Linked DNA regions of Drosophila melanogaster. The main gene of each other region encodes a partner of the protein of the gene in region 3 in a complex. Each region holds a gene or a part of one and is shown on either strand. Other genes may lie near its edges. The genes, in order: Nelf-A, NELF-B and Nelf-E.

Region 1 (7,901 bases), on a different chromosome or scaffold from region 3:
GACTCGGGCAACGACCTGTTCGTGTACAAGCTTCCGGAACAGCCCACGGCCAACTACTATCTCTTGAGACCTTACTGCAATTCGGACGAACAGCAAGTCAACGATTTGTGCACTCGCCTGTATTTGCAGTGGCGGGGAGAGCTGGACGGAGGCAGGCACATTCCGTTCCCGCTGCCGGCGAATGTGCCAAACATTGTGGCGGATGGGCTGATCGGTGGATATCTCACCCTCAGTCCGCAACTGTGCATTGTGGCCTACGACGAGAGTAACCGTATCATTGGATATTCATGCGCCGCCCTGGATGTCAACATATTTCGACGCAACCTGGAGCTGTGCTGGTACACGGAACTGCGTGAGAAGTACTCTAGAGATATTTGTCCACTGGAGGGTGGCGAGGAGGTTGTACAGCTCGTCACCTCCCTTGTGGAGAGTTATCATGACAGCAGCGGTAACGGGGCTCTGGACCAGTGTCCCGTAGAGGTGAGCGGCTCCTTCCCTGCCGTGTTGATCTCCGGAACTTTGCGCGAAGCGGAGGAGCGCGACTCGGGAATAACCAAGCGGATGCTCACCGTACTTCTGGCCGCCCTGCGTGCGAACGGCTGCTTTGGTGCTCACGTTCGCGTTCCGCAACAAGATGTCGCCCAGGTGAACTTTTATTCCAGAATCGGTTTCGTGGATGTCTATCGCGAGGAGGCCACCAAGTGTATTTACATGGGTCGCCGTTTCTAGCGTAGCTGGTTGCCACCTTCACTGCCTCCACTTTTAATGTTCCTTCATCTTTGGTATTCCGGCTAGCGGTGCTAGCTACTCACGTCATGTCCTCGTCCTTTTTGTATTCCCTTGAGGTATAAAGTTTGTATAACTGACCAACCCTTCCAGCATTTATCGTAAGCATTGTTTTCTTACTGAGAAAAACAATAAAAATACCAATTTAATAAAACTTTTGCTAGCTTTTGTTCAGGTCGTAGAACCAGACGGTGTTTACTCCGTCCTCTATAATCTTCACGTGCTCTAGGCTGGGTAGTGGAAAGCGGCAGGCGATAATCTTGGTGTTGTGCGGACACTCAGCAATGAGTTTGTGTTCTAGATCTTGCATCATCTGCTCAACCCCAAAAATGACCACGAAGTTGTAGTCCTTTATATCGAACTTCCAGAGATCTCGCCGAAAAAATCTCGTCCGTTTGGAAACGCTGTGACGCAGCGCGGCCAGGCGCGAGTAGTAGACCAGCCATGGGTTTAGCTCCACGCCATCTGCTTTTAGAGCACCACAATGCTGTGCCGCAGCTGGAAAGAATTACATAAGTTATCTGCAATGTTTTTAAATGGACTAGGTGAAGCGTACTTACCCACTACAATCCGTCCGTCGCCGGATCCAATGTCCAGCAGTTTTCCGGCCGAATTCTTGGGCAGGAAGCTGAGAACGTTCTGTATTTGCTCGGTCGTCGCTGGCACATAAGGCAAGCAAATCCTCCGGAATGCAGGCGCCACAAAGGAGGCGCACACAATCGACAGACCGATACCTACTCCGCCCGTTGCTGCTATCAGGATCTTGCCGCCCGTGGACATGCCACTTTTCGGCGTCTTGGCAAGCGGATTCGGAGCAGATTCGTTGAGGAGTTCCATTTCTATTATCAGAAATTCATGTTTACCTCAATTGCTTAGTATTCAGCGATTATTTATCGATAGCTGGTAGCCCTGCAGGGGGCGCTGTTACAACGGCGTTTTGCACCACTGGACCGTGCACACTGTTTGACATGTGGCAACACTTTTTTCGTGCGTTTGATGTGTGCGTGCGCTTCCTATTACAATTTTTTCGAAGGATTTTTCGTGTGTCTTGTTGACGTGCAGCGCGGCAGAAAGTGAAAAACGCCATCAAATAGTGCCGTGCAACAGGGCGGGTCAACGTTTGGCATAAATTGCAGTGTGTGCCCCGCGTGCGGACAGGCGTAATTCGAAAAAATGGCGAACGTAAGGGACAGCGACACATCACTGTGGCTGCATAATAAACTGGGCACCTCGAACGACTCGTGGATAAACGGCTCCATCTGCTCGCAGCTGAACAAGGAGGTGCTGCGCAACATCAAGGAATGCTTCCCCGATCTGCAAACGCAGGTCAAACTGAAGCTCCTACTCAGCTTCCTTCACATCCCGCGCCGTCTGGTGGAGGAGGTAAATGAAATCCAATGAATTGAAATGGCGTTGGTGTATGGAAAAAGTACACCAGTGCATACGCACGCATACTGCGGCCCGCGCGCACACGTACACGGAGTACACTTACCGTTGTTGAAACAAAAAGTGCGGACAATTTTTAAATACTCGGAAAATCTCTTAGATCCCATCACCTGGCGGACCCCAAAGCACATTTCTTCGCCTTTTAACATTTCCCCCCCGGGCGATTTCGCGGGTTGGTGAAAATAAATATTAGCAACGTTTCCCGCCACTTCTGCTTTTGTGTACACATTTCTCTCTCTCCGACACTTGTGCGTGGATTTCTCTCCCGTGTGCCTCGGTGTGTTCATGTGTGAGTGGGCTGTTGTGGGTGGCCGCGGATTCATTTGTTTGTTGTGCCCTTCCCACAGAGCAATTCGAATTTTATCAGACGTTTGACATCGCAGTTAAAAGATACATTTGTATCTCCAGGCTGCTGAGCTGGTAGACCAAGTATAAATACAAATAACTATTGATTTTTTATTTGATTTGCAACGTGCCGTTATAGTGTAATTAAAATCTGTATTTAATCGATCATACCAGGACTACCAGATCGTAAATATTCATTGTATCTATTACCTGAAAGTGTATTTGAGCATCGAGTTGTCAATTTATTTATGCAACCCAACCCATTGTTGATTTGATTGCAATTTGCAGTGGAAGGCGGAACTTGAGGAGGTGATCGAGGTAGCCGGCCTGGATTCAGAGCTATGGGTTTCCATGCTGGCGGAGACGATGAAGACCTTTCCGGCGACCAGTTCGCTCAACACCGAGATCTCCGATTACGAGGACACGCGTCCCATCTTCATAGACATGGTCAACGACCTGCGCAAGCTGGTCACAAAGCATTCGGACCTCGGCATGCTGCCTCTGGAGTGCCAGTACCTAAATAAAAACGCACTGATCTCAGTGGTGGGTATAGACAAACTTACTAAATCTTACCTGTTTTGAACTAATAATTTTTTCTTGTTTAATTCAGGTGGGCCAGCAACCCGCTCCCGTCAAGCATTTTACGCTGAAGCGCAAGCCGAAGAGCGCCCAGTTGCGCACCGAATTGTTACACAAGTCAGCCGATGCGCAGTCCTCGCTGAAGAAGGCCTCGGCCCCCACAATACCGCTGCGATCGCGTGGCATGCCACGTAAGATGACAGACACTACCCCGCTGAAGGGAATCCCATCTCGCATGCCCACCACTGGGTTCCGTTCGGCCACCGTGCCGGGAAATGCCGCCCAGCGCCCCAATCTCAGTCGAACGCCTGCTGGACGCAAAGACGGTGGCATTAAACTGATCGAATTCACCGAACAGCCCTTGGGTTATGCGGCGGCTAAGAAGCGAAAGCGCGAGCAGCAACTGGAAGAGCAGCAAAAGAAGCAGGAGCAGAAACAGCAACAGGCAGCTGCAGCGGCAGCTGCGGCCGCCACAGCAGCGGCAAGCAATGCTGGTGACAGCTCACCAACGGACGCGGCGACTGCCAGTGGAGGCGAAACACCCGTCACGCCCACGTCAGCTAACAACAGCTTCGAAATCAAAATGGAACCGCAGCAACTCAACCAGAGCGCTGGAAGCCTGGAAGAGCCGCAAGACGATGAGATGTCTGGCAAAGCGAATATGGAATGCGATATCGAGACGCCGGAGTACGCTACAGCCACGCTGGACTTTGCCCAGGCCACTTCGACGTCCGTGGCGGATGGTCAACCGGGAAAACCAGCAGTAGAAACGAAGCTGAAGACGCCGCGAACTCCGAAATCCGCAGCAAAACTGAACAACAACAACAACAACAACAACAACAACAGCTTCAATCACACCCCAAAACGAATCAAGCAGGAAATAGAGATCAAGAGCGAGGAGATCATAGTACCCGCCAGCATCAAACTCGAAAAGATCGAAACTTCACCGTCGACCCAACGCGTCAGTATCCAGCAACAGCCGCCTAGTTTGGTGCAGCGCACCCCGCACCTGCTTATCCGCAGTTCGCCGCAGAAGCGGCAGAACAACGGGGCAACCACGAGTGCAGGCACAACCACAACCACTGTGGGCAATACCACCATCAAGATGGAGAAGCTGGACATCAAGCCAATGATACGCGCCACCGGTGTCTCGCCTTCGACGAGTGCGGGCACTACGACTACACTTCTTACCCCGCAGCAACTGCGTCAGGCGGCCAATCCGTTGGCCAATCTGCCCAACAATATCTCCGTGAAGATAACCTCTGCCAAGGCGAAAGCGGCAGCTGCAGCAGCGGCAACATCCAGTGGCAGCCAGACTCAGTCGCAGCAGCCGCAAACGTTGCAGGTTCAGCAGGCGCCTCAGCAGTCGCATCCCCCGCTTTTGATTAACAGCTCCACACCCGTGATCTTGGCGTCCTCGCCCAGCGCTCAGAGAGCGGTAAGTATAAAATTATGCGTAGCTCTATTGGAGAACTTTTAGTTAGGAATTTCTTTAATTTTCCTGGACAAATATTTGAAATTCTATCACCTGCCATAATGAAACTTAGTCCCTCTTTGCTAATTAACTTAATTCTTCGGTTGCAGAAGGCTTTGGCTTTGCCTAGTAGCAGTACCTCCGCCACAACTACCACGACGATACCGTCGCAAGCCATAAAGACGATGCCACTGAGCCAGCTGAAGACGGCTACCAACAGCGGACCAGTGATCATATCGCAGACTATTATCCAGCCGGCAAAGCGAGCCCAACAACAGGCTGGAACCTCCAGTGCAGCGGCCGCTTCGCAACAGCAGCAGCAACAACAGTCGCAGCAGCAATTGTTACACCAGCAAATCCAGCAGCAGACCCAACAGCAGGCGCAGTTACCACAGCAGCCTCAGCAGCAACAGACGCAGTATATTCTAGCCACACCCCAGCAGCAACCGCAACAAATTCAACAGCAGCAACAACAGCAACAGCCCATTTTGCCAACGCTTACCTCGTTCTCACACAGTCGGCCTATGCCGCAGACTACGACGCTTTACCAAGCCACTACTCCTAGCGGAAGCGGTCAGACGCCGACCAAGATTTTGCTAAAGACATCGGGCTCTTCAAGCGTGGTGATGACGCCTCTGCGCCAAGCGCAGCCGCAACAGGCCACCGCTGTGGTGTCGTCGAATCCTCCGCCATTGGTGGCCACTTCGGCGGCAGTAGTTTCCCCGGGTCAGACAACCCTGAACATTCAGAATGTGCAGCTACCCAATCGACCAGTGACCATCCAACCAGCCTCCCAAGCCGCCCAGCAGCAGCATATGCAGGCCCAGTTGCAGCAGCAGCAACCGCATCCACAGCACACGATCGTTGCCAATACGACGGCCACGCAGCAGCCCAAGTTGTCTCAGGTTCTAATGCAGCCAACTGCAGCAGTTGGCACCAGTGGTGTATCCGCTCTGAACGTATCCCCTACGTCCGGAAAGAACAAGACCATCATACTCACCCAGAAGGGCGTTATACTGCGCAACATTGGCGGCGATATGTACCAGCAAATACCAATCAGCAATGTGGGCAACATGCAGGGACTCGGAGGCACCACGCTGATGACAACCACAGCTGGGCCGCCGAGTCTGGTGAAGACAACACCCTCGAGCGGTGTACAGTTGCAGCAGCAACAGTCTGGAAAGCAGATCCTGCCCACTCTCATACCAACCAGCTCGCTTGGAGGACAGCACGTTATTGTGCAGCAGCAGCAACCCACCAATGTCATCGGGAATGTAAGTGTATAAATTATGTTTTGCCAAACATTATTGGCAATAGAAATCGTAAATCTCTTTTCCCCACGTCCACTATGTTGCTATATGTAAAAATCTAACCACATTTGTATCTATCAGTCCCAACAGCAGACCATCATTCGGCCCGTTATGACCAACGTGGGCGGAGGCTTGACCACGCTGCCGCAGGGCCTGACGCTAATTCAACGGCCGGGCCAGCAGCCGCAGCTGGTGCAGGTGCAGGCGGCGCCGGGCAGCACGCAGCGCACGATTATTACCCAATCGAACACGGCGGCGGCGGCGTCGCAACAGCAGCCGCGCCAGCAGCAGCAACAAATCCTGGTCCAACACAAGCCGGCTCCGACCCTGCAGCAGCGTTTGGTCACCTCCACCACCAGCGGTGGACAGGGACAGCAGGGAAATCCGAATGCGGGGCTCCCGCGTACCGTGCAGGTGCAGGTGCAAGCTCAGCAGCAGCAGCAACCACAGCAGCAGCAAGCTACGCAACAGCAATCGCAGCAGGCACCCCAGCGACGTGGACTCTCTCTATCGGTAACAACATTGCACATATTTCTTTAAAATTAGATTTCAATCCTGTCCTGTGGTTTCTTCTAGAACGAACACGTGCACAAGGCGCACGAAATGTTCCGCAAGGCAAATCGCGTCTCGCGACCTGACAAAGCCCTTATCCTTGGATTTATGGCGGGTCTGCGGGAAAACCCGCGCCCAAATAACGAAAACGTGCTGGTCATCAAGTTGGGCGAAACAGAGGTAAGGCTATTTGCGATTTATTTCAAGCTTCTGCCTTGGTTAATTCTCAATGCTTTATGTCAATTGTTACAGGAAAAAGTACAACAGGACAACGGCCACACGGCACTGTGCCTGGTTGAGTCACACATCCGGCTGGACTACAACACCGGTGAGTGGAAGACATTCCAAAACTACAGGCTGCAGGACCAGAGTGCCGCCTCATAGTCCACAAGGGTCATACGCATAGTTCGCAGCAACAAGTGAGCAGGGACAGCCAGGCTGCAACTGGTTTGTGCGTATATGGATTGTTGAATATGTATTTTAATTTGTCATCCGTTCTGCATGGGCTGCTTCGCTGCCGCCCCTAATTAGGCTATTATAAACCCCCTCTCTCCTAAAAACCCTCACCACAACCTCCCGCAGTCAGCAAGACGCCCTAAGAAATGCTGGATATAATGAAACTATTTTATAATTAAGATAATTTAGCTGTACAGTTGTTTAGAATGTAGTAAAGGCTAGCGCTTAAACATTTAGTAAACAGGCCCGTTCGTACATCCATAAAAACACCCATTCATCCAAGCACACTGGCATAATCACCTCTGGCTGAACGCTTCACTGGAGAGCAGTTGGCAAGGCGGATGGGCCAGAAGTGAGCGTTTGGACGGATCACATAGGCACACACACATGCCTCACACATGCATTTTAAAACTGCATATATATACCTAGCTTATGTAATTGCTGTCGAGTAAAAAGTGTGTAATTATCTTACCAAGCAGCATAAAATTTAGAGACGCTGATCGGCGCTCGTATTCATTAGAAATCTAATGAAAATATATTTAGTTTTAGATATATATGTATGAGTCGCAGCCACCACAGCAAAATTAACTTAAATCTTGAAATGTGTAATAGACAAACAATAAAACTAGCATATGTATTTATGGCTTAAATGTTAAAACATCTGCTCTTGTGCTTGATTATGGAAAATGTAGGTCATGCAAACGTCAACTCACTCGGATATTCAAACACTCGATCAATTGATCAATTTGGTTATCAAGTGGTCTGCGCCCAAGTGGAATTCTAAAGACCTATTGGCGTGGTATGTGATTGAATTTTGAAATTGGCTGTAAGAGCAGTTGTAATACCAATAATCATTGGGAAAATAATTCCTCTTATACAATGTATAAGATTGTACATTGAAATTCCGCTGGGTTGGAATTTTGGAAAGTGCCTTGCCCACGGCCAAGAGAGCG
Region 2 (4,678 bases), on a different chromosome or scaffold from region 3:
GTGCGGCTGGTGATGATGCTCCTGCTGGTGATGGCCATGATGATGGTGATGGTGGTGCTGCGATACAGTGTCATCCGAGACGCCCTCCTCGTAGGCGGTCAGGATGAAGGTTTCCGCCTCATCGCTGACCAGGGTGATCTGCGAGGTGCCGTGATGTGAGGAGAGCGTGGCGGTATCGTGATCCGATTGCCCGTCATCGTCCATCACCTCGTCGTCGTCATCGTCCACATGCTGTTTCAAATGCAGCATAGCTCCAATGGGCAATGTGGTACTATTCGCGCCTCCAATGCCTCCACCGGCGCCGGCAACCCCACTCGTCTCATAGGTGATCTGTGTGTTCCGGTGCGATTTCAGTTTCGGCTGGTACACCTTCGACAGGAAGTCCAGCTCCTTGGCGTAGCGCCACTTGGATAGCCGCCCTTCGATGTACTTGGGCGTGCGCAGACGGTACTGGTGGAAAGTGTCCCGCAGGTTCTTCCACTTACGACGCACCTCCTGCACCGTGTACTTGTCTGGAAGAAAGAAAGAGGTAGTATAAATATGAGCGGGGTTTCAAAGGAATCGTATTCCTTTTACAGATAATTGATACAAGCTAGAACCTCTTCAAAGGCATCACATTTATGAAAACGTTTCTAAGTAACGATGAAATTATGAGTTGTGTTATAGTAGCCGGCGCCAGAACACTAGCCTATCAATACAATATGCATGTGGTATTTAAAACCAACTTTAGCGGAAGCTTATATTAATTCTGGAAGAAGGCTAATAGTCGGACATGAAGCAGGCCATGACTAGCACTCACTTCCTATCTGCTGGGCCACCTCCTGCCATCCGTTGAGGACATCGGAGCGGCGTCGCTGGTTCGGCTGCAGTTTGTAGTTGTAGAGAACCGGATTCTGGCGCACCAGGTTGATCAGCGTAAGGATGTCGTCCGTGGGCGCGTTGTCCTTGTGGTAGCGCTTGCGCTCTTGCGTCGACGAGGACATGTTGCTTCAGCTTCTGTGGGTTTCCACTGTTGTGCTCTCCCAAATCCTGATGATCCTTATCCCGATACCAATGCTGCTCCTCACATTCAGGTGTTTTGTTTTTGTTTACCCACGAAAAGAGAGGCTTTCGTTCTCGTCGAAATGCACGCACAAACACATACACAAGCGCACTTGAACGGAGCCAAACACCAGCTTATGTAGGTGTAGGAACACGCACGCACACACTCTCGCACACTCGATGCAAAGGATAGCGACTGTGTGCAGCAGGATCTCCTTTGTAGTCGCTACGGGGCACGAATCTCGGCAAGAATCGAGACGCCTTGTCCTTGGCGTTCAGCTCCAATTGTGCGAATTTGACTGCACTTGATGCTCTTGCTTTGCTTTTGGCTGTTTTTGCTGTTGCTTATTTCGCGCTAGGGATGACACATCGCGGAATTGGCGTTCTCTTTCGCCGTCACTGAAAAGCAAAAGTCCGTTTCCCTGTATTTATAATCCTCAATTAAAAGTTACGTTCTTATACAATTAAGTCGTATGGGAATGATGTTCTAAGGCAAACTAATTAAAGGTTTTTATTTTTTGAGTTCAGTTTTTTTACCAACACTATTAGAAATTAGACTTATATTGTATTTGTGGCCCATATAATTTTTTTTTATTATCTTTATTAATTTTTGTAACATTTACCATTCTACCAATAATAATAATACAACTATTTGTTGGCAAAATAATATTAATAACTACATGTTAAACATACAAAGTTGGCTATTACAAGCCGTGCTGATACGTGCACTATCGATAACACCGCACATGTGCAAGCCTGCGCTTATTTTTTTGTCTCCTCGCTAGCAATAAAAAACAACACAATTGTGTAGCTTCGTGTCTTGTTTTGCTCAATTTGCCGACGAATTGCATGATAATGAGCACACCGGCGAAAAATAACAATGGAACTGGACTGGAGGACGTGAATATTCCGGGTCAGGCCTATCTGCGCGAGGCCCTGACCTCCTGCACTGATCCCTTGAAGGCCATCGAGAGTTTTCAGGTTTGTTTACGTTGCACCGAAAAATGGGCGCCAAAAGTTCGGTGGGCTTATTTATCCAAATATCACCTGCCTTTTTAGCTTGAGAATGGTGTATTGCTGCCTTCACTGCGCCCCATGTTGCCTTTACTCGATTTGCACGGCGTGCGTCGACTGGACTTTCATACCTCGCTGATGGAGGAGCTGCGCGACAAGCTGATAGCTCACATCAACGAGATGGGCCAAAAGGAGCCCCGGGAGCGGGACAAGAAGCTCAAGGAGCTGCTCGTTAAGAGCTTCCCCGTCGTTCGGGTGAAGTCGCTGCGGCCCGTGGTCATGGCCATATTGAGGAATACCCAGCACATCGATGACAAGTACCTCAAAATCCTTGTAAGGGATCGGGAACTGTATGCGGACACGGATACGGAAGTTAAGCGGCAGATATGGCGTGATAATCAATCGTTGTTTGGTGACGAGGTGTCGCCTCTCCTCTCACAATATATTCGCGAGAAGGAGCACATCCTGTTTGATCACACCAACTTGAACAATCTGTTCTTCCACCCAACGCCCAAGGTGCGAAGGCAGGGGGAAGTAGTCCAAAAGTTGGCCAACATGATTGGCACCAGTGTCAAGCTGTACGATATGGTGCTGCAGTTCCTGCGCACTCTATTCCTGCGCACCCGCAATGTTCACTATTGCACGCTGCGTGCAGAGCTACTGATGGCCTTACACGATCTCGAGGTGCAGGAGATCATCTCGATAGATCCCTGTCACAAGTTCACCTGGTGCCTGGACGCCTGCATAAGGGAGAAGAATGTGGACATTAAACGTTCACGGGAGCTCCAGGGATTTCTTGACAACATCAAGCGCGGTCAGGAGCAGGTTCTGGGCGATCTGTCCATGACTTTGTGCGATCCGTATGCCATCAACTTTTTGGCCACGTCGGCCATCAAGATATTGCATCACTTGATCAACAACGAGGGCATGCCGCGTGACAATCAGATACTCATCCTGTTGTTGAGAATGTTGGCCTTGGGCTTGAGTGCCTGGGTGATGATCGATTCGCAAGACTTTAAGGAGCCCAAACTTGATTGCCAGGTGGTCACCAAGTTTTTGCCCGCCCTCATGTCGTTAATGGTTGACGACCAGTGCCGCAGCTTGCACGCGAAACTACCGCCGGACGAGCGTGAATCTGCTCTGACCACCATCGAGCATTCGGGACCGGCACCGGATGCCGTGGAGGCGTACATTCAAGAGAGTTCCGTGGCCAGCATATTGGCCATGTACTATACGCTGCACACGGCGCGCCTGAAGGATCGCGTGGGCGTGTTGCGCGTCTTGGCCATTCTGTCCGCCTGCAAAGACGACCGCGCATATGAGGATCCCTTCCTGCACTCTCTGGTTAGCATTTATAGCTGCTTTTCTAATATTTACTTTTCTGACTCGATTGCTTACCTCTACAGATTGCCCTGCTCATCCCCATGAGCGAAGAGTTTGCCACGGAGGACTTCTGCACCACGCTCTTCGACGAGTTCATCTTTGCCGGACTGACGCGCGAGAATGTGACCTCTCGTCACATGCTGAAACTTTTGTGGTATGTGCACAATAAGCTGCCCGCCGGTCGTTTGGCCACATTGATGAAGGCTATGCAGCCGACGACGGCCCACAACGAGCACATCCACAAGTTGTACGAAATTCTGCAGGAGAGAATCGGCACCGGGGCGGCGGAGACGCCGGTCATTGAAGCGCCGCCCATGGAGTTTGATTCGCCGCTAAAGAGTGTGCCAACGCCAGGACCGCACTATAATGTCCAATAGCTAGAGGCACCGGCAGTCGCACCACCTGCGGCTGTCGTCGGATGATGATGGTTATTTGTGATGATGATGTTGATGTTGATGATGATGATCGGAGGCCATGTATGTGGCTACCTCATATACTTCTCTGGAGCAGCCGACCGGATGGCAATCCCCAATTAGCATGCTTGCGCAAATAATAATTCTACTGTTTAGACTAAACATAAAGCACTGCGACCGAGCAATCGGATATAGTTTACATATTTACAGAATGTATGGCTTTGTTGGCAGGCATCAATCAGTTGTCGCTGGCTATTATATATATTATATATTACTGTTACGCTAGTGTAACGATCGATTCTAGTACACAATATAGAGTACAAATCTAAGGCAATGTCTTTTAGTTTCATCAGGGTTTTTGAAAGAAATATTGGTTCCCGGTACCAGTTTCTGTAATCACATACTCAACTTTTAACTCATCTTTACTCAAATTTAATGATTTACATAACTGGAGTTTCTTACGGACATGGATAATTGAAAGATCCTAATAAATTTCGGTATAAAAGTTTTTTAACGCTTATAGCTTAGGGAAATACACACAATTTAGGAGGTTTATTAGGGATAGGAGTCTTTCGTCTCATGTCTGATCTGTTTTGGAACTGGAAACTGGAGCTGATCCCGCTACGGAAGCGGCCGGAGATGTGGAAGCAGCCCCACCGGACGTGGACGCTGGCGAAACTTCCACGGGAGAGGTATCCAACGGAGGTAGTGAAGATGAGGCCGACAAAATCTCATCATCTATGCAAACGGTGGGCGAGTCTAGAGTTTGAATCTCTGGCGAGAGACTAGGAGCTGGCTGTGGCACAGACAGCGATGACGTGGATGAT
Region 3 (4,039 bases):
TGTCAAAGACATATTCGCCGAAGGACCATATTCCCTGCTGGGAATGTCGCGGAAGCACGTTGTACGTTTAATCTGACACATTTTATGCAGCCTAAAGCATATCACTAATGCATACGTTCCAGAGAAACCTAGTCAACCTTCATGGACTGCCCAGTAGCATCTTCAAGCGACATCGGCTCCACGAGCACGCCTTCCTGGTGCACTACATGGACCAGGCCATAACCCGCGAGGGTGGCGTTCACAACCTGACACCGGATGCTTTGCGCTACTCCTGCTATCTGCGCGGATTGAATCCCGACAGCCTGAGCAGCGAGGCCATGATCGAGTGGCTGCGGAAGTGGGTCAAGGTGTCCACGTCGATACAAGGCGAACATATCACGCTGTTCCTGCACTTGCCCATCCTGCTGGGCTACAACCATCCCAACAACTGGAAGACCATCTACGGCAAGTGCCCCACTTGAGCGGGGTCCTCTGGTCGTTAGCTATTTGGTAGACTGTGCTTTAAAGATTGGACTGTTAAGATCATTTTGTTTCTTGAGAGCAAATAAAACCGTTAAACCAAAAGAAAGCTGGCAGTGTGCTTGTGTTTTTCCTAAAAATAACACTTTCTTTTATTTTCTCCATGGTGGTGGATGTTCATCAAGCAGTTACTTTCGTTAAAGGTAGTATTTTTTACTTCTTGGCCGCGGCCTTCTTGCCACCCTTGGCCTTCTCGGCACGCAGACGCTCGCGACGATCCTTCTTGAGGACGCGGGGAGTGCCGTCAGCCTTGGTGCGCTTCTTCAGTGTGTTGAAGGCGATGGTCAGCAGCTTGTTGCGCTGACGCTTGGCATAACGCAGCTTGAAGCGGTCAAAGTCGTTCAACGAGGAGCGCTGCAAAAGAAGACAAATTCTCATTAGTACTTGATTTATTCTGAATGTTTATGAAGACGCCTAGCTATGATTGTAATCAGATAAACTAGAATTAGCTTCATATATGTGTCAGCCGGCAATTCCTATCAAGAACTTTCAATTATCATCATGTGCAGTTCAAGGAGGTAATCAACTAGGCAGAGAAGAGGTATAACATTTTCCCCTCTACATAGGTAAACTTTCCTACAGCTACGAATCCTCCTCGTGCTCAGTGTACATACCTTGCAGATGTTCTGTGCCTTGACGGACCAGGGGCTGACCTTCCACTGGGCCTTCAGGTCGCTCTCTGTCCAGGCCTTGCGCACGATGCGCGTGGGCGCGGTGTAGGGGAACTTGATGCGGTACTTGGTCAGATGCAGATTGTTCAATCTGTATTCCTGACGGGGCACGCCAGTCAGAGGACCATCTACCAGAACCTGAAAAGTGAAAAGCCATTAATTAGTTTGGATCACTTTAACCATGTATGGCCATGAAGGGAGGAGTACAGCAACAAATGCTGGTTTTGCTTGCTTGCTTTCAGAGGGTTAAACTAGCTTCATTTATGTGTCAGTTGGCACTTCCTATCAAGAAGACAAATTATCATCATGTGCAAGAGCTCGTCACTTGGCAATTTGTTGCTGTTACTCCACTATGGAATGATGCACTTACTCTGTTTTGGTCAATGACGTCGACAATGGCCACCAGGCGCCCCTTCAGGGGACCGGCGGAGGCCTTGGCAATGCGACCAGTTTGTACGAATCTCTCGAAAGGCTGCAAACAGAGAGAAGTCCATTAAAAATGGGTGAAAATGTTGGATTTCGGTTGTTGCATGGCCAGCGCGTTGCTTGTGTTGGTGACCACCACGTGAACTATTTGAATGTTGGATATCCCATGGTTTTCCAACGCTTTTACGCTGCTTTCGCTATTCACACGTTCAACGCACTGACCCGTTCGCTTGGCCGCCAAATTTAATTCATCTCGGGCCATTTAGACCGCTGAATTTTCACATTTTTCAACCGATCCGCAGAAACCTTCGTCGATTCTTACCATGACGCTAACCGGAAAGAAAGAGAAGGAAAGAACTTTTTTGACAGCTCGGTGGTAGCATGGCGTTAGTGTTGCTAAACACAGAGTTGCATGTGGTCTAGTGTTGTGCAGAAATAGTTAATGTGACAGTAAATCATACACATCTTATGTGGTATTTTTCGCTATCAACTGTTACAGTCACACTAAGCCAATTCGATAGATTTCGATAGTAAAAATAAACATTTTGGAATAACATAATTACTTTTGTAGAAGTTACTTTTTACGGGGTTAATTTCAAGCAGACATTTTCCCAACATGGTTTACATACACTTCCCCAACAATTTAACCGAAGAGGAGCAAATGCTGCAGGCCAAGTATCAGAAACTCAAGAAAAAGGTGGGAAAACTCATGCCACAAATGTGATTATTTATATTAACAAGTTTTTAACCCGTAGAAAAAGGCACTGCAAGCGCACAAGGCGCCCAAGCCGGAGCCGGAGAGCTCCTTGACCTTGAAGCGTCCCACGGATGCGCGAGATGCCCGTGAAGTGGCCAGGAAACTAATCAAAAGCGGCGCCATTCCCGCCATCCAGAAGCAGACCAAGCAAGATCAAACCTCCTTCAAGCGGCCCAAAGGACAGGAAAGAGCCAAGCGCTCCACCTCGGAAACCACTGTTGCCTCCTACCAGCCCTTTTCGTCTACGCAGAACGACGTGGCCCAGGAGACGATCATTAGTGAGATCATTAAGGAGGAGCCGCGTCGACAGAATCTCTACCAACACTTCGCCACCGAGCGGGATCGAGAGGAGCGCGGCATGCCCGAGAAGGTGCCCATGGACACAGCGCAGCCAGAGAAGCCACGGGCCGGCAATACCATCTTCGTGTCCGGCAACAAGGTCACCGAGGATTTCTTAAAAAAGACATTCAACGACTACGGCACCATTGTCAATGTCTCCATGGAGATCGAAAAGAGGTAAGTGAACATGGAAAGTCCATGTTATAGCTTACATATATATTTTCCCAACTGGAGAAATTATAAATTTATCCTGTATGGCCTTGCAGTCGCGGCTTTGTTTCCTTCGCCAAACCCGAGTCGGCAGATCGCGCCATTGCGGAGATTCATGGCAAGAATGTGAATGGCATCAACTTGCAGGTGCAGTTGGCTAGACGCCAGCCCCAGATTGAGCCCATTAACGATGCCTCCTCGTCGGCAGTCTGGTCATCTATTGGTAAGTGCTCAGTGTTTCTCTATAACTTAAAAACGAAATCAAACCTTATGTACTCCCCAAATAGCCGCCAGCAAATCACAAAAGGGTAGCCACAAGGACCACCGCGAGATGGTTCAATACGATGAAGACTTCTTGCTCTAGAGCGCAATAATTAGTTTCTACGTTTAGCTTTCTACTTACTTTATCCCTTAGTAACAGAACACATTTCAGTTTATTTTAAATAATTTTGCTTTATTGAAAATACGCTTCTATATATATGTTCACTTTCTGGCTAAGTACTCGCATTTCAAGTTATAACGTTCAAATGAATTCAATGAAAAAGATTGTATGTTTTGTATATTAATTCCTACGTTTTGATCTAAATTAAACAACAATATGTTTAACAATTGAATCTCTCGCTTTGCCTTACGTGGTAGAAAAGATGAGCAAACAAAATAAGTTCTTATTAGTGGTCCTCGCCCCCTCCTCGCAAGAAACAGAGAACGTCGTATGTATGTACATAGCATGAGTTAAGTAAATAGTTAATACATGATCGTTGCTTCTGTTGCTATGCTCTGCCATATAGATTTCTATATCGTTGGTAGACAACGTTGAAAAATGTTCCCTCTATATTTCTGGTTAGTACAAGTTAGATGTCGGTATGTGTGTGATGATGGGTCATTGAACTGGGATTCTGGTTTCGATTGTTTTGTGTGACTAGTAGCACGGGCACGCCCCTGCCCAACGCCGCCCCCATTGGCGCACCTCATTCCTAAAGTAATTTCTTGTTAGTATCATTAAGGCCTTCAAGTTTCGAGCGGACACCTGGCCGCGTTTAAATTCGTTTCTTCATCCCGCCAAGTATCTTGGCCAGATTCGATGCTCCAAAATGCAATACCGCTCCAAAGGATAACA

What was found.
Region 1: Nelf-E (region 3) and Nelf-A share a complex: the UniProt entries of both Drosophila melanogaster proteins name them as parts of the NELF complex.
Region 2: Nelf-E (region 3) and NELF-B share a complex: the UniProt entries of both Drosophila melanogaster proteins name them as parts of the NELF complex.

The regions. Positions count from the first base shown.
Region 1 is NT_033777.3:21,221,911-21,229,811, forward strand, and holds Nelf-A (negative elongation factor A), read left to right. Parts: upstream 1-1,793; 5' UTR 1,794-1,959; coding exon 1,960-2,169; intron 2,170-2,278; exon of another isoform or gene 2,279-2,679; intron 2,680-2,865; coding exon 2,866-3,120; intron 3,121-3,187; coding exon 3,188-4,594; intron 4,595-4,740; coding exon 4,741-5,904; intron 5,905-6,021; coding exon 6,022-6,453; intron 6,454-6,516; coding exon 6,517-6,672; intron 6,673-6,744; coding exon 6,745-6,876; coding exon of another isoform or gene 6,877-6,915; 3' UTR 6,916-7,602; downstream 7,603-7,901. Other genes in the region: Oga (O-GlcNAcase), read left to right, coding at 1-729; CG3337 (uncharacterized protein), read right to left, coding at 947-1,284, 1,347-1,623. UniProt on the Drosophila melanogaster protein: Essential component of the NELF complex, a complex that negatively regulates the elongation of transcription by RNA polymerase II. Has an essential role in postembryonic development.
Region 2 is NC_004354.4:7,725,496-7,730,173, reverse strand, and holds NELF-B (NELF-B), read left to right. Parts: upstream 1-1,812; 5' UTR 1,813-1,890; coding exon 1,891-2,022; intron 2,023-2,100; coding exon 2,101-3,399; intron 3,400-3,461; coding exon 3,462-3,815; 3' UTR 3,816-4,178; downstream 4,179-4,678. Other genes in the region: CG12155 (uncharacterized protein), read right to left, coding at 1-512, 800-983; hira, read right to left, coding at 4,429-4,678. UniProt on the Drosophila melanogaster protein: Essential component of the NELF complex, a complex that negatively regulates the elongation of transcription by RNA polymerase II.
Region 3 is NT_037436.4:8,598,937-8,602,975, reverse strand, and holds Nelf-E (negative elongation factor E), read left to right. Parts: upstream 1-2,096; 5' UTR 2,097-2,232; coding exon 2,233-2,313; intron 2,314-2,371; coding exon 2,372-2,889; intron 2,890-2,978; coding exon 2,979-3,145; intron 3,146-3,209; coding exon 3,210-3,286; 3' UTR 3,287-3,534; downstream 3,535-4,039. Other genes in the region: CG5989 (uncharacterized protein), read left to right, coding at 1-61, 123-461; RpL14 (ribosomal protein L14), read right to left, coding at 673-873, 1,134-1,328, 1,561-1,662, 1,939-1,941. UniProt on the Drosophila melanogaster protein: Essential component of the NELF complex, a complex that negatively regulates the elongation of transcription by RNA polymerase II by RNA polymerase II. The NELF complex, which acts via an association with the DSIF complex, causes transcriptional pausing.